Linked DNA regions of Xenopus tropicalis. The protein of the gene in region 7 interacts with the protein of the main gene of each other region in a biochemical or structural test. Links are inferred from orthologs where the notes say so. Each region holds a gene or a part of one and is shown on either strand. Other genes may lie near its edges. The genes, in order: rrp1b, mphosph10, akt1, ppp1r10, mapt, sfi1 and ppp1ca.

Region 1 (3,343 bases), on a different chromosome or scaffold from region 7:
ATAGTTTTATGGTATCTCTCTGTACAGGCTATGGGCAAACTTAGGGGCTGTTCCTGCTGAATTGTGCTTAGTACAGGGGAATCCCTATGTGCCATAGTTTTATGGTATCTCTCTGTACAGGCTATGGGCAAACTTAGGGGCTGTTCCTGCTGAATTGTGCTTAGTACAGGGGAATCCCTGTGTGCCATAGTTTTATGGTATCTCTCTGTACAGGCTATGGGCAAACTTAGGGGGCTGTTCCTGCTGAATTGTGCTTAGTACAGGGGAATACCCAAGCTGGAGCAGTTATGGTCAGTATAGACTATGAGCAAACTTTTGACATTCTGGGCTTAATGGATTGGGGGTCAGGCAACACCATGTGATTATGCCAATGGCTGCCGGGGTAGAGTAGGAGGGGCATCGGCACTAAGGCCCCTCCCCATTTGGAAAGGGTGGAAATAGAATTCCTGAATTTCTAAAAAAATAGATCAAGACAAGAATTTTTTTTTTTTTTTTTTTTTTTATACAACACAGACCGATCTCATTAATACCAGTTTAACCCCTTCTCAACCATTAAATAAAAATATAAATCTCTCCTTCCTGCCCATTAAAAGACCCCTCCTCCCTCGGCTTTTGAATAAAGTCACATTCAGTGAGGGCCTTGGGAATAATGGTACGGCCCTGGGAATAATGGTACGGCCCTGGGAATAATGGTACGGCCTTGGGAATAATGGTACGGCCCTGGGAACAATGGTACGGCCCTGGGAACAATGGTACGGCCCTGGGAACAATGGTACGGCCCTGGGAACAATGGTACGGCCCTGGGAACAATGGTACGGCCCTGGGAACAATGGTACGGCCCTGGGAACAATGGTACGGCCCTGGGAACAATGGTACGGCCCTGGGAACAATGGTACGGCCCTGGGAATAATGGTACAGCCCAGCAGCTTCCTTGGGTCCCCGGCTGGCGGGGACACAGCATATTCTGCTCCTGCTGCTGGTGAGTTGGGTTGGATCCACTGAACAGAACCACAAGGCACCACATTCACTGTGCGCTAGGGGCGGGGCAACACTCAGAAAAAGTCTGCGGCGCGGGCCCGGGGGGCGGGACTTGACGTGGGAGTTTTCAGGACGCCGTGATCTGGTCTCTGCTCCGGGTTAAATGGGACTCGGGAGGAACCGGTCGGGCTGACAAGGAGGCTGCGGTCTGTCCTCTTGAACTCTATGGGGGGAAATGGCAGATTATAGGGGCCCCCATAATGATGCCAGCAGGGCAGGTACTCGGAGTAGGAGGGGCCAAGAGTAGGAGGAGCCAAGAGTATGAAAAGTAAGGCATGCTGGGAAAGGAAGACAATCTGACATGGGGTGGGGTGTATATAAATGGGGGAATGGGGTGTATATATAAATGGTGGGGTGGGGTGTATATAAATGGGGGGGTGGGGTGTATATAAATGGGGGGGTGGGGTGTATATAAATGGGGGGGTGGGGTGTATATAAATGGGAAGGGGGGTGTATATAAATGGGGGTGATTATAAATGGGGGGGTGGGGTGTATATAAATGGGGGGGTGGGGTGTATATAAATGGGGGGGTGGGCTGTATATAAATGGGGGGGTGGGGTGTATATAAATGGGGGGAGGTGCTTACCGGCGGTCATGTTCTTGTTCAGGCTGAAAGTGACTTTCTTGGATTTGCCGCCCATCTTGGTGGGAACCTGGGAAGGGAAAGCAACAAATAGGGTCAAACTGTACAAACCCCACGAGAGCGCTGACCCAGCTGGCACTGGGGCCACATCGGCCCTGCTTGGATTCGGCTAGTCAGCCCCAGGCATATTGCCCCCCAGCACACTAAGTAGAAAAGGGGTATGAGCCCCTGATTGGGCTGCACAAGGGCTGAGTGGCCTCTCAATGCATCGGCCTGGGGGAGGAGTTATTATTTCACAGGAACCAATGGTTCAGTCAGGATTAAGCCCCGCCCCTGCTGTATGTTCATGGGGAAGAGAGCAGCCCAGAAGCAGGAAGTACGTAGAATCTGTACATGGGCAGGTACTGTACTGCACCCAAGAGCTTCCCCAGTCAGGCATTGCCCCCCAGCCCAACACCCATGGGTACCCCATTACAGGGCACCCCCTCACCCCCCCAGTTTACCTGCCTGCCCCTGGCCTTTGCCGGCTTCACATATACAGGTTTGGGGGAATTTGCCTTCTGGAAAGACATGAAGTTTTGGGGAGTCGACGTCACTTCCTTCCGGGGAGCGAGCGGCCTTTCCTCTGGTTCTGGAGTAGAGGATCCCATTGGCTGCTGGGAAATCTGTAACAGATCACATGATATTGCAGTGGGCAGCCCCGTGTATATGGGCCATACAGTCACAGGAAGTGGGTATGGCAAGAGATTCCCCGATTGGCAGCACTGGTGCCCCAGTAATACTGCCCCCTCCTCTGTGGGACCCTCCCTTAGGGCCGGGGGCTATTGCTTACTGCCCCCCCAATGTCTCACCTTGCACTTGCTCCTGAGCAGCCGGAGTTGCCTCCTCCTCAGTAAGGACCCAGTCAGGGGCAGAATACGGAGGCTGGTTCGGATCAGCCCAGCCCTTCTCCTCTTCCCGGGGGGTTTCTTTGAGAGGGTTGGGGTACAGTCTGGTGAGGGGGTCGGGGCAGGTTGGGGCGACCCCTTCTGTTCACTGTGATTTTCTGTACAGCAGCTTTGGGCCACGCCATTTTGGGAAGGTTGGGGGGCTTGTTCCTGGCTCGGGGTGTTGTTGTTTTCATCCGTCTTCCTCCTCTTACGTTTCTTTTTTGCTGCAGGGGGGCCATTTTTTAATTTGGACTCGTCCGGGGCCACGCCCACTCGCTTCCGCTTCTCCCGTTTTTTTTCCTTGACTGCGTTACCGTCGGAAAGTCGGGATACTATTCCTGGAGAGAGAGAGAGGCAATTGGGAATAAACCCCCCCAAACCTCTCCAGAACCCCTCCCACCTCCCAAGGCGACTCCGCCCCCCTCAGACCCCCCCACTCACCATAGGACCCATTCTCTTGCGCCCTCTTCATCCTCTTGCGGAACAGCCAGCTGCTGTAATCATCATCATCCTCGTCCGTGGAAACCTCCTCCGGGAAGTCCTCGCTGGGGAAGATCCCTGCAAACATGGAAATGATATTAGGACCCCGGAGCGGGTGGTGCCGGGGGGCCCCAAGCAGCCAAACGGAGCATTAGGGTGAATGTCACAGAGACAAGAGCAGAGTCCGACCCACCTTCAGCCAAGTCCCGGAACCTGAAAGGAACAAGAGAAAGTGAGTATTGGGCTCCTATTGGGCTCCTATAGCGCCGAGATACAGAATGTACTTGGTAGGAACCAGCAGTGCAACACTCTC
Region 2 (3,961 bases), on a different chromosome or scaffold from region 7:
TTTGCAGGAGGTGCATTTTTAAATAGGGCAATAATTGATGGAGACACTGATGTTTTTCTTGGTGACTGAATGTTTTTTAAATTGACATTAGGTTTTTTTTTTGATATGGATAGACTTCTGCGGGATTTTTTCTTTTCAGGAGAATTCATTTCTGATGTACTGGGATATATACTTTGACTAAGCCTCTGAATGCATTGTTCATCTCCTGCAAACACAAGAAAGATTAAGTAGATAGAGGACTGCCAAAAGAATTATTTTTTGTCACAATTAAATTAAAAAAAAACAAACAAACAAACTTTCTATTATGTTTACACATTGAAAACCAGTATATTTTTTACTGGCCGGGTCATATGGTAGCAACCTTTGCCATACAATATGAATGATTATATTATGATCCCTTTCCAATAACGTGGTTATTATACAGTGTTAGCAGACTACAAGTGTTAATTCTGACTTTAGTATCAATAAACAGCCTTTGTGCAGTTTTTAAAACCTGGACCATTCCCAAGAAACAACCATTTCTATAGACATGTAAACCCCAGGACTATATCAAGAAATAAGATTGTAAGCTCTTTTGGGCAGGGCCCTCTTCACCTCTTGTATCGGTTACTGATTGCTTTATATGTTACTCTGCATGTCCAATGTATGTAACCCACTTATTGTACAGCGCTGCGGAATATGTTGGCGCTTTATAAATAAATGTTAATGTAATGTAATAAGAAGGTCTGGTGTAATTAACTCTCATAGATGGTAGTGACTGGCAGTAAAATGTAAAAGCGAAGTACCAAAAATACACACCAAGCAGCTGGTACTAAAACATAATTAATGACTCAATTTTGAAACAAGCAGCGTATACGTGAGTCTCAAATACCCCGCTTTTCTTACCTGTCACAATCCAAGGCATCCGCCATGTTAGCGAATCAGGATAGCTTTATTGGCACAGACAATACTGCCAAAAGTACTTGCATGAAAGACCTTTTTCGCAATTACATGTTACCATACGCCATAGTGTAAAGCAAGCACATATGCTAGACATATCCTACTCGGATATCAGTCAGTTTGTGTGTCTTACTGTACTTACGGAACCATAGCACTGTAGCAAACGTTTCCGGCCGGAGTGGTTTCGTAGGCGCACTTCCTCTTCTCTATGGAACATGTGAGTGAGCTGCGCTGATCGTGGCAAAGGATGATGGCAGATTCTGAAGAACCGAGGCATGGGCTGGAACAGTGCATGGAGGTTCTGGAATTAGTGAGTGCCCACCCGGAGCAGTTGCTGAGGTACAGAGAAAGAACCCTTATTGGCTGCTATATCCTCTTAGCCTATGATTATGCTGTTTATTTCCATCGTTTACTGCTATAACATTTGTGTGTGTGCTGGACTAAATCCTGGAGACTCACTGAGCTGCCTGTGCCAATCACTGAGAAAAACCATAATTACATAAAATAATTAAAAATAAACTGGCAAGGATACTGAAGATTTGTTTAATCTCTGTTCTTTAAAATGCAAAAAAAAAAAAACAATAGTACGTAAAATCTTCCATATCCACACCAGAACCACACATAATTAGACCTTTATTATACACCTTTATTTCATATCCTTAAAACGCTTTAACCATTTTTTTTGAAGAGTAGAAAAGTGCTGTTTTATGCATTATATATATATACACACTATAGTTATGGTGTCTGTGGTTGGAGCTTATGCATCTGAACCATTTATAACCACTGAGCGACTTTGCTTATTCTCTCAATAACAATCTTATAGTTTGAACAGCTTGACATGTCTCAACACATTGAAGGACTTAGGGCATTGGGTACCCAAGGCACACTTTTATAATAAATGAATTCAATTTGTTTTTTTACTTAATGTTTAATAGGACTATGCTGAGCACGAAATAGAGAAGTTATATGTGAAAGAGGTAGGGGGGTAACACTAAAATGTGTTTTAAAATAATTAAAATTTAATGTGCTGTTGTCCTGCACTAGTAAAATGCCTACTATATACTATTATATAAACAAAGCTGCTGTGTAGACATGGGGGGAAGCTATTTAAATTAAAATAAGGCTAAGAGCGCTGCCAAACTTGGAGATTAGTCGCCCCCACAATTAATCTCCTTTAGTGTGGGAATGTTTTCCCACCGGCAATAATGTCAATCACTGGTGGGAAAAAAAAAATGTGTTGCTTCGGCTTTCCAAAGTTGCCCATTTTCCTCTCGAAGCAAACTTGTGGGAGACTTCCGAAAGCCGAACGACTCATATGTTTTCCCAATGGCAATTTACATTATTGCCAGTTCAAAAGCATTTAGAAGAGATTTGTCACTGCCGTGGGCCAACTAATCTCCTCTTGTGTGAGGGTGCGTAATGGCACAGGTTTCATAGGAGATCAAAGATAAGCTCTGTAAAACACCATTGCATTCTACAGAACTATTTGTTACTTGGTATGCATTTTCTCCCTTTTCCCATCTTTGGTTGCACACTTAACACCAAGGCACGTATAGCTGTTGTGTCAGTATGTATGTATGTATGTATATCATTATTTATAAAGCGCTACTTATGTACGCAGAGCTGTACAGTAGAATACATTAATACAGTTTGTTTGTATGATACTGTCCAGTGCTACACTCTTGTTCTCTGCTCTATTGTGAGTGTGATATTTTTATCTATTCTAAACTCTGCTCTCTAGTAATGTGGGCAACTGTTAGATTTTATAAATATAGGTATGGGACCTATTATCCAGAATGGTAGGGACCTTGGGTTTTCTGGGGGTTGTTTCATCATTAACAAAACCAATAATATTTTTTTCTCCAATAAGGATTAATTATATCTTAGTTGGGATCAAGTACAAACTACTGTTTTATTATTACAGAAAAAAAGGAAATTCATTTTAAAAATTAGAATTATTTGCTTATAATGGAGTGTGATAACAGGTTTCCAGATAATGGATCCCATACTTCTACATTGTAATAAAGTACATATGATTTTTTTTTTTTTACTTATTTGCAGGAGTATTTTAAAATACATTTGTTTTTTTTTTTCAGTGTGCAGGATGAATTGGCAACAGAGTTCTCTTGTTTAACAAAAGCTCTTTATGATTTGCAAAAGTCACAGCTTGCACTAGAGGTGGGAAGCCCATTGGAAAAGCTGATTATAGAGAATTTTGATGAAGAGCAAATATGGCAGCAACTAGAACTGCAGAACAATGCTGTTCTTGGCTACTTCAAGAAAGCAGTTAGTAAGACACAAAAAGACAAGGATATTTATCTCATACAGTCAACTGAGGAAGAGCCATCAGAATTGGAATACGAAGATGAGGAAGGTGTGTCAGCAGAAGAGTCAGAGTTAATTAGTGAAAATGAAGATGAACAAAGAACTCAGAAGAAAAAAACTGCTGATACTAAAAGACCAAAGAGAACACCAGTGGAGGCATTCAGTGATGATGATGATTCAGATATGGACTTTGATATTGATAAACTGGAGAAGCAGAGTCAGCAGATACCAAATAAAAAACCAATGGCTAAACCTAGTGAAAAGTCAGTACTTGATGACAAGTTCTTTAAGTTGTCTGAAATGGAGGCCTATTTAGAAAAAGTCGAGAAAGAAGACAGTGAGGAGGATGACGATGATGATGTTGATTATTTTGAGGATATTGACTCTGAAGATGATGAGGAGGAGGAGGAAGAGGATGATATGGATGAAGATTTTAACATTACAAAAAGCAAAGAACAGGTAAATTGTGCACTAATAAAGCCCACTAATCAGAAAAGAGCAAATGCAGCCCTGCAAAGCATTTGGACATCCGTATAAACATATGAATGTCACCTCAAGGTGTGTGGGTTGAACATAAGCTCTTCAGGATGTTATGGTCTGCATTGAATAGGCAGGCATATATGGTTGGTAAAAAAAGAAAAACAGCTAAAGTAACAGGTTTGGCAAATGGGTAATTTTTAATGGTATGCATAATGTC
Region 3 (4,021 bases), on a different chromosome or scaffold from region 7:
GCGCGCACCCCCCGTGCGCCTGCACACTACCGCTGGGGGGGGGGGGGGGGGCGTGGGACCGGGGACAGCCTGGGGGCGGTGAGTTTTGAAATCCAGCCATGAAACCAGCACCATATATTATTTGGAATTGCCTACAAAATTAGGTTTTTTTCCCATTTATCCAGTATGTCTCCTTTAAAAAATGATAATGCATCATCCATTGTTATTTGCAAGAGTCTTTTATAAAAGCACCTGGCATGCAGTTTTATGTTTTTATATGGAAACAAACTCCTGTGTGGCTTCTAATATTGTTTTGAATAACAATAGGGCAGGCCCAGGTTGGAAATCTTTGGATTCTGGCAAATGTCGCCATAGACAGTCACAAATGATTGCGCTTGTGGTGGGGGCTGCTTGGGCCTCTATGCACCTAAAATACCAGGGCCTATTTTGACTCCCAGTCCAGAGTTGCAAAAGGGGATACATTATTTACTATATTACTACAAAAACCATACTGGGGCAACCCTGTTATAGTGGGCCCAGGAACACAGCATAAATAGTATTGAATTGAATTTATAATAGGGCAAGAATGTGGCTTTGAGGTACAACTCCCAGCACTCTCAGGGAGAGTCCTATGTCATACAGATAACAGGGCCTCGCAGTTTTCCTAAATATTTATTAACTTCCCTCACATATTGCAAAAGCCAAATACCAATAGTTAAATACAAAGCTTAGGGTGGTTATATGTACATTAACAAAGAATTTTAGCTGATTTTCCTGCACTGCATTACTGCGTGTGTATTTGCCTGCTTATAGAATAGAAGTTGCTCTGTGTCAATATACATACACGTAGCGACTTTAGTCAATGCCCTTCCATAGAATAGTGAAGAGTGAGGCCCCGTTGAAAGCGCGTTGTAGCTAAAGCCCACACTGCTGGCGGAGAGAGCAGCACACGGGTTAAGTCTCACCTGGCTGCTGGCTACTCACGCAGCGCTCAGGCTCCTCCCTTTGTGCTCTGATGGATTTCCTAGCTGAGCTGCAGCTTTGAAGCCTGCGGGCGGTAGGACCCGGTGGTCATCTGGAGGCAGGGTGTAAGAGGCACAGAGGGAAACCCATAGACAGCGGCTGGAGAAAGGAAGAGAAGGCAGGAGGGAGGATCGCTTTGGGCAGGGGAGGAAGAGCCATTGCTCACTGTGTGCAGGGGAGGAAGAGACAGAGACGGGCACACACACAGCTGATGCACAGGAGAATGATCCGAGGCTGAAGACTGCAGAGCCGAGGCAGTTATCCTGCAAGCGGCAGCAGTACCCACATCCCAGGGTGGCAGCAAGGTGACAGCAGCAGCAGCAGCAGCAGCAGCACTACTCTCCTGCCAACCATCAGCAGCAGCCGGTTCCTCCCATCCCTCCATGCAATCAATGGGCTGAATCTGCAGCAGCAGCAACACTACAAGCAAAAGCAGCCTTATCCTTCCCCACCTCCTCCTCCCACCCTCTCCCCCTCTGTGTCTGCTCTCCTCTCCTCCCTTCTTTCCTCTCCCTTCCCTCTCCTGCTCCCCTCGGTGATGGTGAGGCTTCAGCTGGCTGTAATCCACCGCTAGGCCCCAAGCCCCCCTCCCAACTCGGTGGCTGCCCTCCTCTTCCAGACTCAGCTCAGTAATACCTCTTGCATCCATGTAAGTCAAACCGCCCGGCACTTCCATTTCCTAACCTTTGTCTTCCACCCTCTGCCAGCACCCACGCCCTTTTTTTTTTTTCTTCTTCCATTTATTGGTATAATCCTTTAACCCTTTAGGTGTCAGAAAGCCTCCCCCTATCGATCATTGCGCAATGCACCAGGGGGGCCTTATGTCACTGACAGGGTTAAAGCAGGACAGTACCTAATACCCTGAGAGGCATGGGGGTGTTGGTCAGTGTTACAGCCCTGTCAGGGCCTGGCGTTGTTTAGTGCTCTGCAGGAGGGGTAGCGGTAAGAGAGCAGCATGCAAACTGCAGCTGATGCAAATGCGCCAAAAATCAATCACATCCCAGTAGTCTTGCTACACAAACTGCCTGCAGGGCAATGCTGTCGCCTTCAGTGCAACCCAGGATGTGTATAATGTTCCTGTTGTGTAGATGTGTGTATGTTTGTTCATAAACAGTGTTAATTTCCAGGGAAGGGCTGTGGCTGGAACTATGGCTGCTCTGCAGGGGGGCTGGCAGCATTGCTTTTTAAAAAGATGGCAGGAAAACATGTATGTATATATATTTATATAAAGATGGTAGAAATGTGCTGCATTTGCTTCTTATCCAGTCTATATACTCAGTTGTCCAACATGTGGCCCTCTGGCTGTCATAAGATGGCAACTCTCTGACATCCACCGCAGCGGAAGGCTGTCATAGGCTGCTGGGAGTTGTAATTCACTGACAGCAAGCAATGCTACAGGTCGGACACCCTGGTGAAATCTAGTAATATCCCCCTTGGGCTGTAACAAAAGCTATCCTATTGCACTAGCATTTCTTTTGCTTACATCTCTGAACAAGATAGTGTTTTACTTCTAGACTGTTGTGTTATGTATGTAGTCTGTTACTTGCTGAAACTGATGTGCTCTTTGTGTGTCCCCCCACCAAACGTGCCCACTTCCTGTGTACATGCTCTAATGTGTATGGGTGTGCTGGCTGAGTTTGACACTTCCTCGCTCTGGCCTGAGCAATCAAGTACTGTGGATTACTGTTGCTATCCAGACTTCGAGGAATATAGCAGTATTGTGAAATTTGTTTACCTGAAAAATATATATATATGTGTTCAGTTAAAAGTAGGTTGCAGTAAGCATGTGGTTGGCATTTGGCAAGTTCCCCACAGTAACTTAGCACAACAATTAACCCAGTCGTTATTGTGATGTTTTTCTTAGGCAATGTATTTTCCAGTAATGTTTCTCGGGGTTTATGCGCACATTAATTTCCAGCTGAATAAGTAATAAGATGTTCGCTCATGGTTTAGCTAGATTAGTATTGCAGGTACAGAAATCCTGTAAAATCAAGAAACAACTAGATTATTTGCATCAAAAAACAGTTTGGTTGTGTCACAAGTCCAATGCTGTGTGTCACCTTTATGTAGTGCGCTAAATTAAAAAAAACAAAAACAAAAAATTTCATGACATGTCCTTTCTATGTGCAGTCATCTGGATTTTATTCAGTGTCTGCTATTGCAACAATGTAAAAAAAAAAAAAAGAGTATAGGTTAATAAACTGGGCCCCGATTAACTTTTGCTACTATTTTTTATAAAAAAAATTAAATAAAAAAAAATTGTAGTTCATTGTTCTTCTAGTGATCAGTGAATGAAAAACCAAACTGCTGATTTGATGCTGGTTTGGGAGACCAAACTCTCTTGAATGCAGGAAGCAACTAAAAACATGATCATGCTGCTGGGCTAAATAGGAGCCGGTGCAACTGACCTGCATTATTTATAAGCATCCTGCATTTAAAGGTAATACCTTCTCTCCTTACTCTTAACTAAGCAGAATATACAGTAGGTAACTTGTATGCTAAAGCCAATGTTTGACTGTAAACTTATCTGTGCATTTGTATAGTGTAACCTTTCATTCTACCTATAATATGTATTTGGCTTTGATTTTATATTGTATTCCACTTTGGTTCAGGTATATTTCTCTGAGCATGCACATATACAGAAGTTAGATCACAAATATATTTAAAGAACATATAAAAATAGTTTTTTGAAGTTTATTAGAAATGTTTATGCTATATTGTTGTAGGATAGTGTTGGGCATAAGGATAAATTAATTCAGAAAAAAACTTTGTATGACATGTCTCCCAAGTATATATCCTTGAGGTTTGACGCCTATTCGTAAATAATCTTAGGTTCAACTGCACTGCATTATTGTAGGGAAAGCAACAGTAGGCAGTGCTTGGAAAATGCAGAAAACAAACAAAATAAATCTGAAAATATAACTAAATCAGCATTTCAACTCCTGTACAGAGTCTGTGGCAAAACCTCAGTGTAGGAAGCAGAATATTGGTTTGTTATGACTTTTGTGTCAAGTACTTG
Region 4 (3,998 bases), on a different chromosome or scaffold from region 7:
GTGACATTATGTCCAATTTGCTTTTTTTCCCTCCCTTTTTTGTTCTGTTCCAATACACACAAAGGGAATAAACATGTGTATAGCAAAACATGTGTTACTGCAATACTTTTCTGTGATAAATACTTGATTCTCTGGAAATATTTCTGGGGTGCCAACAATTTTGGCCATGACTGTACATGCTGCATGGATGCACATTAATTTAGCTCAGTCAGTAGATAGCATCTAAATGACTTATTAATGAGCCATGCAGAATGTGGATTCAATATGTGATCTCTATTAAAGAGGAGAGGAGACAAATCTAAACAGAAATGATAAAGAACATATGCACTCTGTTAAAAAGATTTCTCACTGTTCCTGCTTTATTCTGTGGAAATGTTCGTCTGAGCATGCATAAGACTTTATGGGCAGTATTCCTTTCTATTAGGTCTCTTATCACACAGCACTTAATCCCTGTATATTTACTGTAACTACTTTTCTACACTGTAAAATTGTACAGTGGTGTGTATACTAGCAGGACTGTTACTAAAGTTATACATACATGCAAAATGTATCTAAGGCAATTCACGTTGCCATCTAACTAAAACAAAACTGACACCTATGACCCTAAAAGGGATACGGTAAACACTAATCTACCTTACGTATATTCGGATATTAGAGAAAATAATAGCCACAGCCCTACACATATGCGTGCAGTGTTATGTGCAAGTTCAGCTGGAACATCTGTTCCGCCTGCTAACAAGGGCACCCACAAACCGTGTTGCTTCTGCATGCAGGCACCACCATTTTACAGCATATCTACAGCGACAGTAACGATTGATGGGTTACTAAATCTTAAAATAATTACCTTAAGACAGCCAACATATTTAGTCTATACATCTGTCACTTCTCTTTAGTTATAACGTCTCCCTAAATGTTATTACCTTACACCATAGCGCCTTCTTGATTGTAGATATCCCTAGACCACCCAACCAAGTAGCCATTTTACTAGAAGGTGATGTAGAACGGGCACCTTGTCGTTTACGTCATGAAAATATCAACCAATCACTTAGCCCCATTTTTTTCTTTCAGCATGCTGCTTCAATACCAGCTTTATTAATACGAACAAGCAGCCACTTACATTTCAACACCTTGAAGTTATTGAAAGGGTTCGTGCCTGAAAGAATCGCTTCCTGCCCGGGGTTGTAACTTCATTAAACCAAGTAGACTGCTCATAACAATAAGGCTTTAGATACCATATATTGAATATGTCTGGCACTAAAGCTCTATTATTTTTGTAGCTACATGGGTGGTTAACCTAATCAACCTATAGCTCAGCTGCTTCGGTTTGATCTCCGTAATTTAAGCACGAACTAGAGCAGGGCAGCGCTAGTTAAACGTATTTAGATCAGACGATGTTCACGCTATAATTAAGGAGTATTTTTTTGTCTTTCAATAAGGGCGTTGGCCTCGATTACGTAAGCGCTGCGGGATTTTTTTGCTGCGTCATTGAAAAAGGACACGTTGTTTCACGGTTTTTTATTTATGAACATTGAGATTTAGCACTGCTCGTTCACGGTTTGTTTCGCCATTAAATACGTTTTATGAAAGAAAATCACCTTTCGGAAAACAAACCAACCTAGAATCTCTAATTCTTTTGCAATTACATACTCGACGGCCATTGGTTGATGGAAGTGATGTCATTAGTTGCCACCATTTTTTAGCGTTTGCCTCGTCTCGTCGAACCAATCGTGTATCGCTTTTTTGATTGCTCCGCCTCCACACTCCGTGACGCTTCCGAGGCTACTTAAACTTGCGGTTTGGTCAACGGCGCCATTCCAGCCTTTGTCGTCAGGTAGGTGTTTTGTTGAGTGGTGTCCACAGAGAATGTCCTTATTGTTGTGACCTTGAGGGGGGCTGCTTTTGTGTAATTGTTGTGTTTCGGGTATCGATTGTGCACGTGTTTTATGATTTTATTTTTCTCTTTAGGTTTTACCTACCTGTGTTCAACTTGGCTTCATCGTCGCACCAAACTGTTGGACAATAGTTTAAGTTAATATCAAAAGATCAAGGACCTTCAATTTTGGAAACAGTAGAAGACCAAAATACAAGGGAGCCTCGTCACACACCTTCTACACCACGTTTTCCTCTTAATTCTTTTTTAAAATTTTTTATAAACTTATATGCTTATCTGCCCTTTAAATAAGGAGACTCTGGGCTCTTATTAATAGTTAGCAGTCTAAAATACAGGCGTTCAAAATATATCCTCTTTCACTTATTTTTTTTTCTATTTGGAGCTTGAAAAGGGCATATTTGATAATTGTAAGGTAATGGCAGCTGGCCAGCCCTATAAACCTTAAATTTTGAATACAATGCCGACCACAGCCTTTGTGTGGTCTTAATCCCAAGGCAACTTTTTTAAGAGGATATATTCCTTAATACGCCCCCACCCCCACTTTTTCTTTTTTTTTTTCTTTTTTTTTTTTTTAGCCCAGTTCCAACGTACGAAGAGGTGAAGGAGAATTTTGGATAGTAAGTGTTGCTTTTGAACGACCTTGGAAAACAACTTTACCCCCACCAACCCTTTACCCTCAAACCCTTGGTGGGTTCAGCTAATTTAATGCCGTCCCAGCAAGAGCAGATTTCTAGCAAATCCATCTTGGACATATTCTAGATAAAACTGTATTTTGTTTGAATCAAATTGAAAGAAGGTTATACCTGCAGACAACTATCAGCCCTTCAACTTTTTATATAGCTTTTTCAAACATTGGCATCGCTTTCTAAGTTCTAAAGGATAAATGACCAATAAGTATCCGTAGTAAGTTTTGTCCAGGCACATATTTTAATAACAGCTACATTCTACAGGCAGTCTGGGCAGTGAGGTTGATCGTTTTTGACAGGATGTGCGACAAAAATGAGCTCCCATACCAAAGATGGCGTCAGGGCTTTGTTCAAAAAAAGCAAACGCATTATCTCGGTGTGGGAGACGGCATCCTTTGTTTACTTAAGGGATATAAGACCAGTTTTTCCCCGTGTGGTTTATGTTCAGTTCAAGGTGCGTAGTGAACAGAATCATGAGCAATCTGTACATAAAGATTGCAGGGAAAGACTCGTGAGTTCTTCAGGGAGGTATAGTTCCACAAAGAGATGCAGTAATATGTGCTGAGCTGGCAAGGTAGGGAGGTATAAAAGGGGAAATCCGCATGGATTGAAATATCTAATTTTGGACTTCCTGTCCCTATACACTCAATTTGTTATCATTCTACATTCCAATTACTGTAATAATTGCAATTTTAAATGTCCTCGAGGAATCACTGTTTGCACAGCAGTCGTGTCATTTTTCTTTCACCCCCTGGCAGACTGAGAATATACCTAAGAGGATTGTGTGCAATCTATCAATAAAGATTGCTTGCCTTCATTCCACTACTGTCCTGTGCGATAGTAAATTTTGATTATAATAGGCTAAAATGCAAAACTTATTTTGGTATAATTAGTTGTCTGTACATGGAATTTTGTAACTATTTTGTGAACATCATATTTCTCTTAATACATCAGCTTGATTTTTAGCAACCTTTCTCATCTCATGAATTCCATTTTTGCCGGATGCTGTATATTTTTATATTTACATAGCTATAAAGTAGCACCCCGTATTTCCTATTTAGGTAGGGAGGTTTGGTATGGCAAATGTATTGTTTCATCTTCAAACTGTGGTTCTTTTGCAACAAGCAGTTAAACAGCAATTTTTTTTCCTGTTCAGTACATATTTTTTTTTAAACCCTTCAAAATGGCTGCCTCAGTTGTTGTTTTAACATCTAGCATGTTGTAGCTCTAAAATGGACTCTCCTCCTTTCTCTTTGTTTTCCCGCTGAGGCAGGCATGCTAGACTGTATATGGCTGGCCCTTTGCTCATCTCATGAACGCCCTCTGGTGTCTACATGTACTAATAGTCATCTTGAAAATCAGAGGAAAGATTTTTTTTTTTTTTTTTGCAATTTGTTATCCAACATTCCAGTTAGATATAG
Region 5 (3,500 bases), on a different chromosome or scaffold from region 7:
TTTTAATTTCTCCTGACAACGTCCGTGACTACTTTGTGTTTGGAAACTGACCAGCAGGTGGTGCTGCTGTAACAAAATGCATTCATATTAACAGTACTTTAAACCCTTAATATCTTGGATTTTTAAAAAAAAAAAAAAAAAAGTAAATATAAATTGCAAAAGTGTTCAGAAAAGCACTATCACCGATGTTACATCAATTTTTTTTAAAAAGTTTAACAGCATATTGTATGCTCAAAATAATGTCCTTCTTAACTGATGTCTGATTGTGACTTGTTCATGTATCTTCTGGGCCTGACAAGGGATCACCTTGGCTTAGAAGCCAGCTGCGCTCTGTATAAGGTCCATGGCCACTGGGTCTAGAGAACACTCCCATTATTTCTTGTCCTGTTGGGGTTCCGTTCCACCTGGCTGTCCTTGTGTACTCAGTAATCAGAATCCACCCAATCACATTATTCATCCACATTATATCTAAAAGTGTGATGCCTATATAGCATGCCTGTATACTGCAACATTTCCTAACAGCCCGGCCAGCGTACGCAACATGGCGGTCACCTACTTCCTTTTCTCTCTCACACAGGGGGAGGCAACGTGGAAGTAAAATCCGAGAAACTGGAATTTGACAAGATTCAGTCAAAGATTGGATCCCTGGACAATATAACCCATACACCAGGAGGGGGCGCAAAAAAGGTACAATGGCTTAGAGACGGGCACGGAACAGGAAGCCAAGACAGAATGGAGCAATCCCTGGGTCACTGCCATGGCGTCCTGGCATAGTGGGCAGATTATGACTTTAGCAAAGGATATTTTCTTGCATAGGACATAATTGCAGGATTGAAATATCAGATTATCCTAGAGAAGTACCCACTTGGGCATCCATGCTGTGTTGGCTTCCTGCCCCCTGCAACTAACCCTTGCCCAACCTTTCTCTGCTGCTTTTGCTAACAATTTCTAAGCACTTTGTGCAGTGTTAAAAAAAGCCGACAGAAGTGGCTCTGCGGGCGTAAGTGCAGCTATGGGCATGGGCGCCACGCTCTGGGCTCATTCCCTCCATAGGTGTTTCCTTAAGGCTATGCTCTGGCCTCTCACACGTGCCTCTCTTTCTCTCTCACCAAAAACATTTTCCTTCCAATTCACTCCCCACTGCTTCACTGTAATCTGCCTTTATCTGTGTCCACCATCCCCCTCCCCATTCATCTTAATGGAACCCAGTGCAAAATGGCTCCTACCTAGGGATGCATCAAATCCATCATATTTACATTCAGCCAGATTTGAAATCCTACAAGAGATTTGTCCAAATACGGAATTAAGTCCCAACTCTAATTTGCAAAATCAGATTAAAGTCACCAAAAATTGGATTGTAAAAAATGTTTAGCTTTCAGTTGTCTGGCACTTTAAAATCACGAGACTTTAGGGCTTGAATTGACCACTATGGATTCTGCCAGCTTTGTGTGCTGCTCAATTGTGGATTTGGTATATCCCTCCTCCTTCCATTGCAATGTCAAAGGTTCCTTCTTTTCCTAGAATTCCCCCTTATGACTAAATGCCACCAACTAGAGCAAACAGGCAGTCAGAGGGGGGTATATAGAGAATTGTAACTGTTGTGCGGCCAGTGAGACTCCCTCCAAGAGACCAAGTTCTTATGTTAATTTGCAAGTGCTCTGTTGACCTCTTTTGTCATCATCATCACCATCATTATATTATAAAATGCTTCCCACCCCCCTGATTAAGCAGGAAATAACTGGCCTATTTAATTGGGAGACAGTACGACATCACTGCTCTTGCACGTTTGTGCCTTAGCAACAGCACCTTGTAATAATAGCAGTGAGGGCAAAATTGTTATGGATAATGGAGCAATAGTGCCCTCTGCTGGACAGAGACTAACAGACATGTTATACAGTAATAGCTTGCCCTTTACACAGTTCTCTAGCAGGTATAGGATTGAGAATATTAGCAAAGGCCATTATGGCAGAGTGTGTACTGTTCTATGGCTTATTGGAGCAATATTCGTATGGTGCTCGCATAGGGTGGGTCTGCTGGTGGCATCAGGGTCCCCTTAACTCCTTCCCATCTGTGCTTTCATTTTTCCTGCCATTTTTCCCCAACCCGCATGCTTTTAATTGATTCCCCCCACCCTTCCCTACCCACTCCATCTTGTCACCTCCAGAGAGAGAAAGAGAATGAAGAGCAGACAGGGGATACCCCTTCCCCTCCTAATGGGCTGTTACAAGGCCCTCTTGCCCCCTTGACTGAAGAAACAGAGGTGCCAGACTTGGTAGAACAGGAGAATGGTAAGTACCCAGTTGCCCAGGCTCCTCTCATTTCTTCCTGGGGTACTCTGACTCGTGTCAAGCCTAGGACTGAAGCAGCTTTATATTGCCATATTGGCCATATTATACTTGCACCAGTATGGTATCTATTTTACAGGAACCCATTTTCCAGTAATAAATCAAAAAACAAAGAAAAAAAAGCTTCAGCAAGTTTACTGCAAAACATTTATTGTGGGTAGTGGTAACACGACATGTTTCGGGTCAATACCCTTTATCAAGCGTACTGGTACTGGGTATTGACCCGAAACATGTCGTGTTACCACTACCCACAATAAATATTTGGCAGGAAACCTTCTGAAGCTTTTTTCTCTTAGTTTTTTTTTGGATTTCTACAATTGTATTTGGTTTCAGCACAGAGCAACAACTAGGAGCTAAAGCTTTTCTTCACAAGTATTTTATACAAAGTTTACCGAAAAAGTGGCTGCTAATAAGCCATTACCTTAAGTCATGTTGATAGCTGGACAGTTCTTGTAGTCCAACACCACAGATTGCCTATGTTATATAACCCAATAGTCCCTGTCAGCATCCCAGCCCTCGAAATCTAATTTTAAAGGGAAACTAATACATTTTAATATAAAGTATCAGTTCAATGCAGAATGTTACTAGCATGTTGGTGTATCAGTGAGCCTTAATGGAATGGACTATCAGTACTAGAACTCATGGTGGACCCAGGCCTTAGTAGGCCCCAGCCTAAGAAAATTCCCATCAGCCCATCTTTATTTCCAACATGGGTCATTTGGCACTATTTATACCTGTTCCCTAACAGGTATAAATAATGCCAAATGACCCATGTTGGAAATAAAGATGGGCTGATGGGAATTCTCTTAGGCTGAGGCCTACTAGGGCCTGGGTCCACCATAAGTTCTTCTAGTACTGATAGTCCATTCCATTCAGGGTCACTGATACACCAACACGCTAGTTACATTCTACTCTGGCATTTCGGGTAGATTAGTCGCCCGCGACAAGGGAGATTTGTTGCGGGCCACTAGTCTTCCCGTGTGCTAGAGCCCTTAGGGTGAAGACACAGAGCTACTAGTAGCAGCTATTGGTCACAGCTACTAAAATAGACAATGATTATTTACTTATAACTGTGTCTACATGTGTTTTAGTAGAGGCAATTCTCAGTATTGTCTATGACAGGGAATTTTCTGGGGTTTGGTAGCAGTGACAAGT
Region 6 (4,243 bases), on a different chromosome or scaffold from region 7:
AATTTTTATATTTTAATATACCAGGCATTTTTCAGTTTGGGGTTATAGAACAGAGTTCTGGGAGATGCAGGTCAACATCAGAATGGACAGACAGCCATGCTTATACAGATAACTAAGCAATATGCAACCAATGGAGATAACGTACTAAATTCCCCCTAAGAGCCACTAGCAGAGAGTTAATATAAAGACTAGCAGCTGGAAAGCCATATGCTACAGGCATTCACATAGCTCCTTAGGTAGACTTTACATGGTGTGAAGTTAACTGTAGTTCAAAAACCATAGACTAGACATTGTTTGAGCAAGACACTGACAAAAAAAAAAAAAAAAAGCACTTGACACACAGATACGATAAATGCCACATTCACAGACCCAACAAGGGAATTAGAAAGTAGCTACTGAACTGTAGTTCAAAATAAGGGGCCACGAAGCACGAAGCTTAAAGAGCCCTAATAACTTTTACCCTGGACACAAGGGCACCGGGTAAATAACCCGTTCCAATACAATAACATGCACCTGCCACATACGAGGAAGCCCATGCACAATTGGGGAAGGGTATACACCCCAACATGAACGGAACATGAAAGCCACGAGTTCCCTACGCCCGCTACAAACAAAACAACCCCAGAAACTCACCCACACGCCTAAATCCTTGCCTTACAAACCCTCCATACACCCTAGTTCACCTGAGCACGCCCCCGCTTTCTCCCGGTTCCCCTCCCTCTAAAACCCCCCGCCGCGCACACGCCGATCGACGTACAATACGTAGCGCACGTAAAAGTCGCACAGCACGTACCGGCTCCAGCACTCCTCCTAACATACCTGTTATGGTTCTGTGGGCCGCTACTTGGGCCTCCGAGGGCCCGGAATCTGACGACTCACCAGTAACTTCTCCTGTTACACACCCGACCAACCCAAGAACCGAGAAACGACTACGTCAAGTGGACCCCGGACGTTTAACGTCAGCCCGTGACGTAACAAGGCGGTCCTACGGAAACTTAACCCCCTGAAGCCTGTGGCTGAACAGATCACGTGATAGGTTACTCTTCGCTAATTCGATACGCTTATGAAGTAGTAGGCAGTTACTATACTATTGATATAATCTAGTCATTGGCTATAGCGCAGTTATTTGCACTTAACAAACACTTGCTGCATCCTTGCTAGTGGCTGGGGAGAAACACAATTAACACAAAATAGGCCCTTAATTACCAGGTGTGAAACGGAGCCAGGCAAGGATAATTAACAATTATCTATAGTATACATGGACACAGCGGTACGGTGCCCCCAAATGACTACCTTGCCTAAAGCCGCCTCCCTTGACCTGCCCCTGTAATACATGCAGCGTTATCTCTAAGCCCATGCTCACAAATCTCATTAATAAATATATGCCGGCTATTCCATCCGCCTGTTTTTTAGCATCAGAACAAACCAGGTGTTACAGTACGCATGCGCTTTCAACTTCTAGTTGCTGTAACAACAAGCGGCAAGAAGGGCGCGCGTTTATCGGTAGGCGGAGCTACCGGAACTAAACTGGATGCAAGTGAGACGGGATGGATTTTCCAGTCACAGTCCGGTACTTCAAACTCTTAAATCTTGGCGATGGAGTTAGTATTCTTAGGGTTCGGACTGTCGTGTTTGTGCTCTTTGGCAAATACGTACACACTGCAGTACATTTAGTCTGATAAATCACGGGAAAATCACTTTCTTGTGGCCAAGCTAGACTGCATTGTATTAGGTGCACTCTCCCTTTTATGCTGTTGAGCATTGCAAAAAAAATACAAATTGCATCTCAGCACTGATGATAATCAAGGACGGGAAATGATTGCAAATATCTGTATTAGTATGTGGGACCATTATTCCACTCATTGATGGGTGTTGTAGGTCTGGCTGGTCTGCAGTATTTTATGACACGTTTGCCTGTTGTCACTTTAACAAAAACAATTTATTTATTTATTTTAATGTTTCCAGGCACAATACAGCAAAGTCATTCAATTCAAAACGACAGCGTAAAGTTGATCCTCCTGTCACATCTGGAAACCAGCGCCCCCAAAATAGCCGTCTTATACCATATCGTGTGACATACACATGGAACCGTGGAGGGAGGCTAAAAGAATTGCGCATAAGGTTTGTTTCCAATACATAATCCAATAACTAATGGCCATAGTATACAGTAGGGGGCATATTTATTATAGTGTGTACGCTAACATCACTGGGGATGTTGCCCATAGCAACCAATCAGAAATTCGATTTGAACGTTCACCTACAAGTTAGAAAACAAAAGCAAAGATCTGATTGGTTGCTATGGGCAACATCACCAGTGATGTTTGCTTATACCTGGTATAAACTTAATGCTACTTACAGGGTTATTACTGGTCACATTGATTTCTCCCAATGTCAGCTACTTTTCTTAGTCATTGGTGCAACAGTGCATTCACATAAGCCTCTAAAGAGAAGGTAAGGTGTACAAAATGTTATTATAAGTGATAAACTTCTTCATACTTGCTATTTGTGAAATGTAACTAGTGGAATAGAGGCGGTGTATTGTAGGCTACTGTTATTGAGGCTGAAATGAGCAGTCTCTATAAAAATATCCATGAATTCATTTTTATGATTTTTTTTTAGGCATCTGGCCAGAAAATTCCTTTACTTGTGGGTGAAAAAAACATTTGGAAGAGTCCTTCCATCTACTGCCAGGTAAAAACAAAAACAAGGGGGGGGTGGATGTGCAAAACATATACATATACTTTCTGTACATTTGTTGTATTATATATAACATTGTAGAGGGCACACATTAAACAAAATAAATACCTGGGTGCCAAGTTGTAGTTACGCATGCAAGTATAAGGGAAAACCAGCCCACACAGGATGAAAAGCCCAAACTGAATACTCCATGTAATTGGTACCAAAATATGTCACTGTGATGTTATCATATGTTAAAGGACATGTAAACCCCACACACAAAAAATTAATCAGTGAACAGCCTCTTTGAAATATTTCAATACCTGCCACACTGGTTGTCCAGAGGTTGAAGGACAATGAAAGGTTAATATAAATTCAAAGTAAGTCTAAAGGCATTCTTTTTAAGTACTTACTGCATATCTAAATTCCCAGATCCCTGCTTTCTTCTCTGAGATATGGTGCTGGCAGCCTACAGCAGTGTGAAGACTACAGTGACATCACTGAAATCTCTCTGCCCTTCCTGTAGCCTGCCAGCGGCAGCCTTCCTATTCTCTGAGCATGTGTGTAACTTGATCCTGTCTGCTGTTCTGAGCTACACATGCCCACCAGCCAATCAGAAGCGGATCTGCCAGAGGGGAGGAGGAGGGGGGGGGAGGGAGGGAATGAAACACATGTGCAGTATGAAGCAAGGAGGGAAAGGAAGGGAGAATACCTTTTTAGAGATGGCTGCCTGTTCTAGAAAATGTGAAGTAAGTGTGACTGAGTAAATATTTGATTAGGTGAGCCAAAAGTGTGGCATTTTTACTAAACAATAGGAGGACTATTGGGCAGTATGCTTTTTAAATTTTGACTTGCATTCTCCTTTAATAGTAAGGCTGCAGCATCCCCTTAACGACTTAGATTTCTTATTCCTCCTCTAACCCACTCGGCCCCCTCCCTCAGGAATTTGCTTTGGCTGTTGGGGTGTGAGCATGCTCAGTTGTTCTAAGCTCAGATTACTAAACACAACCCCCAGTCTAGTAGCCAGTAAAGAGATGGCATTGCTGGTTCCCATAGAAACTCAGCTGAGCTGTCTGCTTCAATTTTTTTCTCCTGACTCAGATTTACCATTACAGTGCTCAAACAAAGCATTACTTTTATCAAAGGCAGTTCTGCCTGTGTAAGCCTGTATTCTTGATGAAATGTATGCTGAATAAGGGTCTGTGTGTATGCTGTTTGCACATTTAAATGTATCCAATTATGTATCAGAGGAAAAATGGCTACCAGGTGAAAGCTACAATTTGCTTTAGGAAAATGTGATGGTGCTGGCAAGCGGAGGGGATATATGCAGTACAAATGATGCCATTTGGGTGGGGGAGACATGCCCAACTGATATACATTGTAGGCAGAACAGATCTGTGAACCTGGGCGGATTCACTGCTTCCAGATGCAGGCACAACTAGAAATTATCCACAGGCTGACAATCCACCCCATGTGCCCTTGCCCTTAAACTTTATTTTCTATGCAGCTTATCGGTTATCTGTTATCTGCTATGTAAATATGTGCCTTTTTGCTCTTTTGTGTTTGA
Region 7 (2,509 bases):
TAACGGGGCCCCCCCTCCCCAGTTCCTGACTGGCCTGTTCCTCCCCCCCTACAGTTAAAGGCTGCCGCCCTGGGAAGAATGTTCAGCTGACGGAGAATGAGATCCGGGGGCTGTGCCTGAAGTCCCGCGAGATCTTCCTCAGCCAGCCAATCCTGTTGGAGCTGGAGGCCCCGCTGAAGATCTGCGGTGAGTAGGGCCCTGGGTGCCGAGGCTCCGCCTCTGTGTGTAGCTGCGGATCTGATTGGCTTCCCTCTCCTCCCCCCAGGGGATGTGCACGGTCAGTACTACGACCTGCTGCGCCTGTTTGAGTATGGGGGCTTCCCCCCCGAGAGTAACTACCTGTTCCTGGGGGATTACGTGGATCGGGGGAAGCAGTCGCTGGAGACCATCTGCCTGCTGCTCGCCTACAAGATCAAGTACCCCGAGAACTTCTTCCTGCTGCGCGGGAACCACGAGTGCGCCAGCATCAACCGCATCTACGGCTTCTACGATGAGTGTACGCGGGGGCGGGGCCAGGCTGTAACCCACGGTAACCAGTGCGCTCCCTAATGCCCTCTGTCTCCCCCTGCAGGTAAGCGGCGCTACAACATTAAGCTGTGGAAAACCTTCACCGACTGCTTCAACTGCCTGCCCGTGGCCGCCATCGTGGATGAGAAGATCTTCTGCTGCCACGGGGGTGAGTTCCCTGCTGCCCCCATCCCTCAGGGCTCGTCTGGGCAGCCCAAATGGGGTGAATACACACCCCACACCTTCTTAGCCAGTGTGCCCCCCCCCCGGGAGCCCCAAACCTTATACTGTACAGCCAGTGTGCCCCCCCCCGGGAGCCCCACACCTTCTTATACTGTACAGCCAGTGTGCCCCCCCCCCCGGGAGCCCCACACCTTCTTGTACTGTACAGCCAGTGTGCCCCCCCCGGGAGCCCCACACCTTCTTATACTGCACAGCCGGTGTGCCCCCCCCCGGGAGCCCCACACCTTCTTGTACTGTACAGCCAGTGTGCTCCCCCCGGGAACCCCACACCTTCTTATACTGTACAGCCAGTGTGCCCCCCCCGGGAGCCCCACACCTTCTTGTACTGTACAGCCAGTGTGCCCCCCCCCCCGGGAGCCCCACACCTTCTTGTACTGTACAGCCAGTGTGCCCCCCCCGGGAGCCCCAAACCTTATACTGTACAGCCAGTGTGCCCCCACCGGGAGCCCCAAACCTTATACTGTACAGCCAGTGTGCCCCCCCCCGGGAGCCCCAAACCTTATACTGTACAGCCAGTGTGCCCCCCCGGGAACCCCACACCTTATACTGTACAGCCAGTGTTCCCCCCCCCGGGAGCCCCACACCTTATACTGTACAGCCGGTGTGCCCCCCCGGGAGCCCCACATCATCTTATACTGTACAGCCAGTGTGCCCCCCCGGGAACCCCACACCTTCTTATACTGTACAGCCAGTGTGCCCCCCCATGGAGCCCCACACCTTCTTGTACTGTACAGCCAGTGTGCCCCCCCGGGAACCCCACACCTTCTTATACTGTACAGCTAGTGTGCCCCCCCATGGAGCCCCACACCTTCTTATACTGTACAGCCAGTGTGCCCCCCGGGAACCCCACACCTTCTTATACTGTACAGCCAGTGTGCCCCCCCCATGGAGCCCACACCTTCTTGTATTGTACAGCCAGTGTGCCCCCCCGGGAACCCCACACCTTCTTATACTGTACAGCTAGTGTGCCCCCCCATGGAGCCCCACACCTTCTTGTATTGTACAGCCAGTGTGCCCCCCCGGGAACCCCACACCTTCTTATACTGTACAGCTAGTGTGCCCCCCCGGTATACAGTTGTGCCTACTCTGGATCCATCAGAACCTGCCCCCCCCCCCCCCACTCACATCCCCATTTGTGTTTCAGGCCTCTCCCCCGACCTACAGTCCATGGAGCAAGTCAGACGGATCCTGCGTCCCACCGATGTACCGGACCAGGGGCTCCTGTGTGACCTGTTGTGGTCGGACCCGGACAAAGATGTGCTTGGGTGGGGGGAGAACGACCGCGGGGTCTCCTTCACCTTTGGGGCTGATGTAGTAGCAAAATTTCTTCACAAACATGACCTTGACCTCATCTGCCGAGCTCACCAGGTACGTCTGCTCCGCCCATTCCTTACTCCTCTCCCACCCCAGGTATGTCTGCTCCGCCCATTCCCACCCCACGGTACGTCTGCTCCGCCCATTCCTTACTCCTCTCCCACCCCAGGTATGTCTGCTCCGCCCATTCCTTACTCCTCTCCCACCCCAGGTATGTCTGCTCCGCCCATTCCTTACTCCTCTCCCACCCCAGGTACGTCTGCTCCGCCCATTCCTTACTCCTCTCCCACCCCAGGTACGTCTGCTCCGCCCATTCCTTACTCCTCTCCCACCCCAGGTATGTCTGCTCCGCCCATTCCTTACTCCTCTCCCACCCCAGGTATGTCTGCTCCGCCCATTCCCACCCCACGGTACGTCTGCTCCGCCCATTCCTTACTCCTCTCCC

The links.
Region 1: the proteins of ppp1ca (region 7) and rrp1b form a complex in vitro, tested with the Homo sapiens proteins (4 studies listed by BioGRID and IntAct, with this or other methods). The link is inferred for Xenopus tropicalis from reciprocal best matches to the Homo sapiens genes PPP1CA and RRP1B.
Region 2: the proteins of ppp1ca (region 7) and mphosph10 form a complex in vitro, tested with the Homo sapiens proteins (2 studies listed by BioGRID and IntAct). The link is inferred for Xenopus tropicalis from reciprocal best matches to the Homo sapiens genes PPP1CA and MPHOSPH10.
Region 3: of the proteins of ppp1ca (region 7) and akt1, one has a biochemical effect on the other in vitro, tested with the Homo sapiens proteins (3 studies listed by BioGRID and IntAct, with this or other methods). The link is inferred for Xenopus tropicalis from reciprocal best matches to the Homo sapiens genes PPP1CA and AKT1.
Region 4: the proteins of ppp1ca (region 7) and ppp1r10 form a complex in vitro, tested with the Homo sapiens proteins (2 studies listed by BioGRID). The link is inferred for Xenopus tropicalis from reciprocal best matches to the Homo sapiens genes PPP1CA and PPP1R10.
Region 5: of the proteins of ppp1ca (region 7) and mapt, one has a biochemical effect on the other in vitro, tested with the Homo sapiens proteins (2 studies listed by BioGRID). The link is inferred for Xenopus tropicalis from reciprocal best matches to the Homo sapiens genes PPP1CA and MAPT.
Region 6: the proteins of ppp1ca (region 7) and sfi1 form a complex in vitro, tested with the Homo sapiens proteins (2 studies listed by BioGRID and IntAct). The link is inferred for Xenopus tropicalis from reciprocal best matches to the Homo sapiens genes PPP1CA and SFI1.

The regions. Positions count from the first base shown.
Region 1 is NC_030678.2:1,570,394-1,573,736, reverse strand, and holds the end of rrp1b (ribosomal RNA processing protein 1 homolog A), read right to left. Parts: exon of another isoform or gene 3,253-3,343; intron 3,244-3,252; coding exon 3,224-3,243; intron 3,109-3,223; coding exon 2,992-3,108; intron 2,889-2,991; coding exon 2,473-2,888; intron 2,287-2,472; coding exon 2,125-2,286; intron 1,692-2,124; coding exon 1,625-1,691; intron 1,202-1,624; coding exon 1,053-1,201; 3' UTR 501-1,052; downstream 1-500. UniProt on the Homo sapiens protein: Positively regulates DNA damage-induced apoptosis by acting as a transcriptional coactivator of proapoptotic target genes of the transcriptional activator E2F1.
Region 2 is NC_030679.2:97,027,954-97,031,914, forward strand, and holds the start of mphosph10 (U3 small nucleolar ribonucleoprotein protein MPP10), read left to right. Parts: upstream 1-1,161; 5' UTR 1,162-1,186; coding exon 1,187-1,278; intron 1,279-3,035; coding exon 3,036-3,723; intron 3,724-3,961. Other genes in the region: fan1 (fanconi-associated nuclease 1), read right to left, coding at 1-205, 886-904. UniProt on the Homo sapiens protein: Component of the 60-80S U3 small nucleolar ribonucleoprotein (U3 snoRNP). Required for the early cleavages during pre-18S ribosomal RNA processing. Part of the small subunit (SSU) processome, first precursor of the small eukaryotic ribosomal subunit.
Region 3 is NC_030684.2:99,749,721-99,753,741, reverse strand, and holds the start of akt1 (RAC-alpha serine/threonine-protein kinase), read left to right. Parts: upstream 1-1,221; 5' UTR 1,222-1,307; intron 1,308-1,561; exon of another isoform or gene 1,562-1,651; intron 1,652-1,791; exon of another isoform or gene 1,792-1,944; intron 1,945-1,982; exon of another isoform or gene 1,983-2,209; intron 2,210-4,021. UniProt on the Homo sapiens protein: AKT1 is one of 3 closely related serine/threonine-protein kinases (AKT1, AKT2 and AKT3) called the AKT kinase, and which regulate many processes including metabolism, proliferation, cell survival, growth and angiogenesis.
Region 4 is NC_030684.2:75,449,240-75,453,237, reverse strand, and holds the start of ppp1r10 (serine/threonine-protein phosphatase 1 regulatory subunit 10), read left to right. Parts: upstream 1-1,198; 5' UTR 1,199-1,831; intron 1,832-1,965; 5' UTR 1,966-2,508; intron 2,509-3,998. Other genes in the region: mrps18b (28S ribosomal protein S18b, mitochondrial), read right to left, coding at 921-980.
Region 5 is NC_030686.2:17,262,018-17,265,517, forward strand, and holds part of mapt (microtubule-associated protein tau), read left to right. Parts: intron 1-577; coding exon 578-687; intron 688-2,164; coding exon of another isoform or gene 2,165-2,288; intron 2,289-3,500. UniProt on the Homo sapiens protein: Promotes microtubule assembly and stability, and might be involved in the establishment and maintenance of neuronal polarity.
Region 6 is NC_030677.2:152,105,396-152,109,638, forward strand, and holds the start of sfi1 (protein SFI1 homolog), read left to right. Parts: upstream 1-1,443; 5' UTR 1,444-1,547; coding exon 1,548-1,570; exon of another isoform or gene 1,571-1,596; coding exon of another isoform or gene 1,597-1,601; intron 1,602-1,965; coding exon 1,966-2,121; intron 2,122-2,619; coding exon 2,620-2,691; intron 2,692-4,243. UniProt on the Homo sapiens protein: Plays a role in the dynamic structure of centrosome-associated contractile fibers via its interaction with CETN2.
Region 7 is NC_030685.2:492,457-494,965, forward strand, and holds part of ppp1ca (protein phosphatase 1, catalytic subunit, alpha isozyme), read left to right. Parts: intron 1-54; coding exon 55-186; intron 187-265; coding exon 266-496; intron 497-571; coding exon 572-676; intron 677-1,894; coding exon 1,895-2,118; intron 2,119-2,509. UniProt on the Homo sapiens protein: Protein phosphatase that associates with over 200 regulatory proteins to form highly specific holoenzymes which dephosphorylate hundreds of biological targets.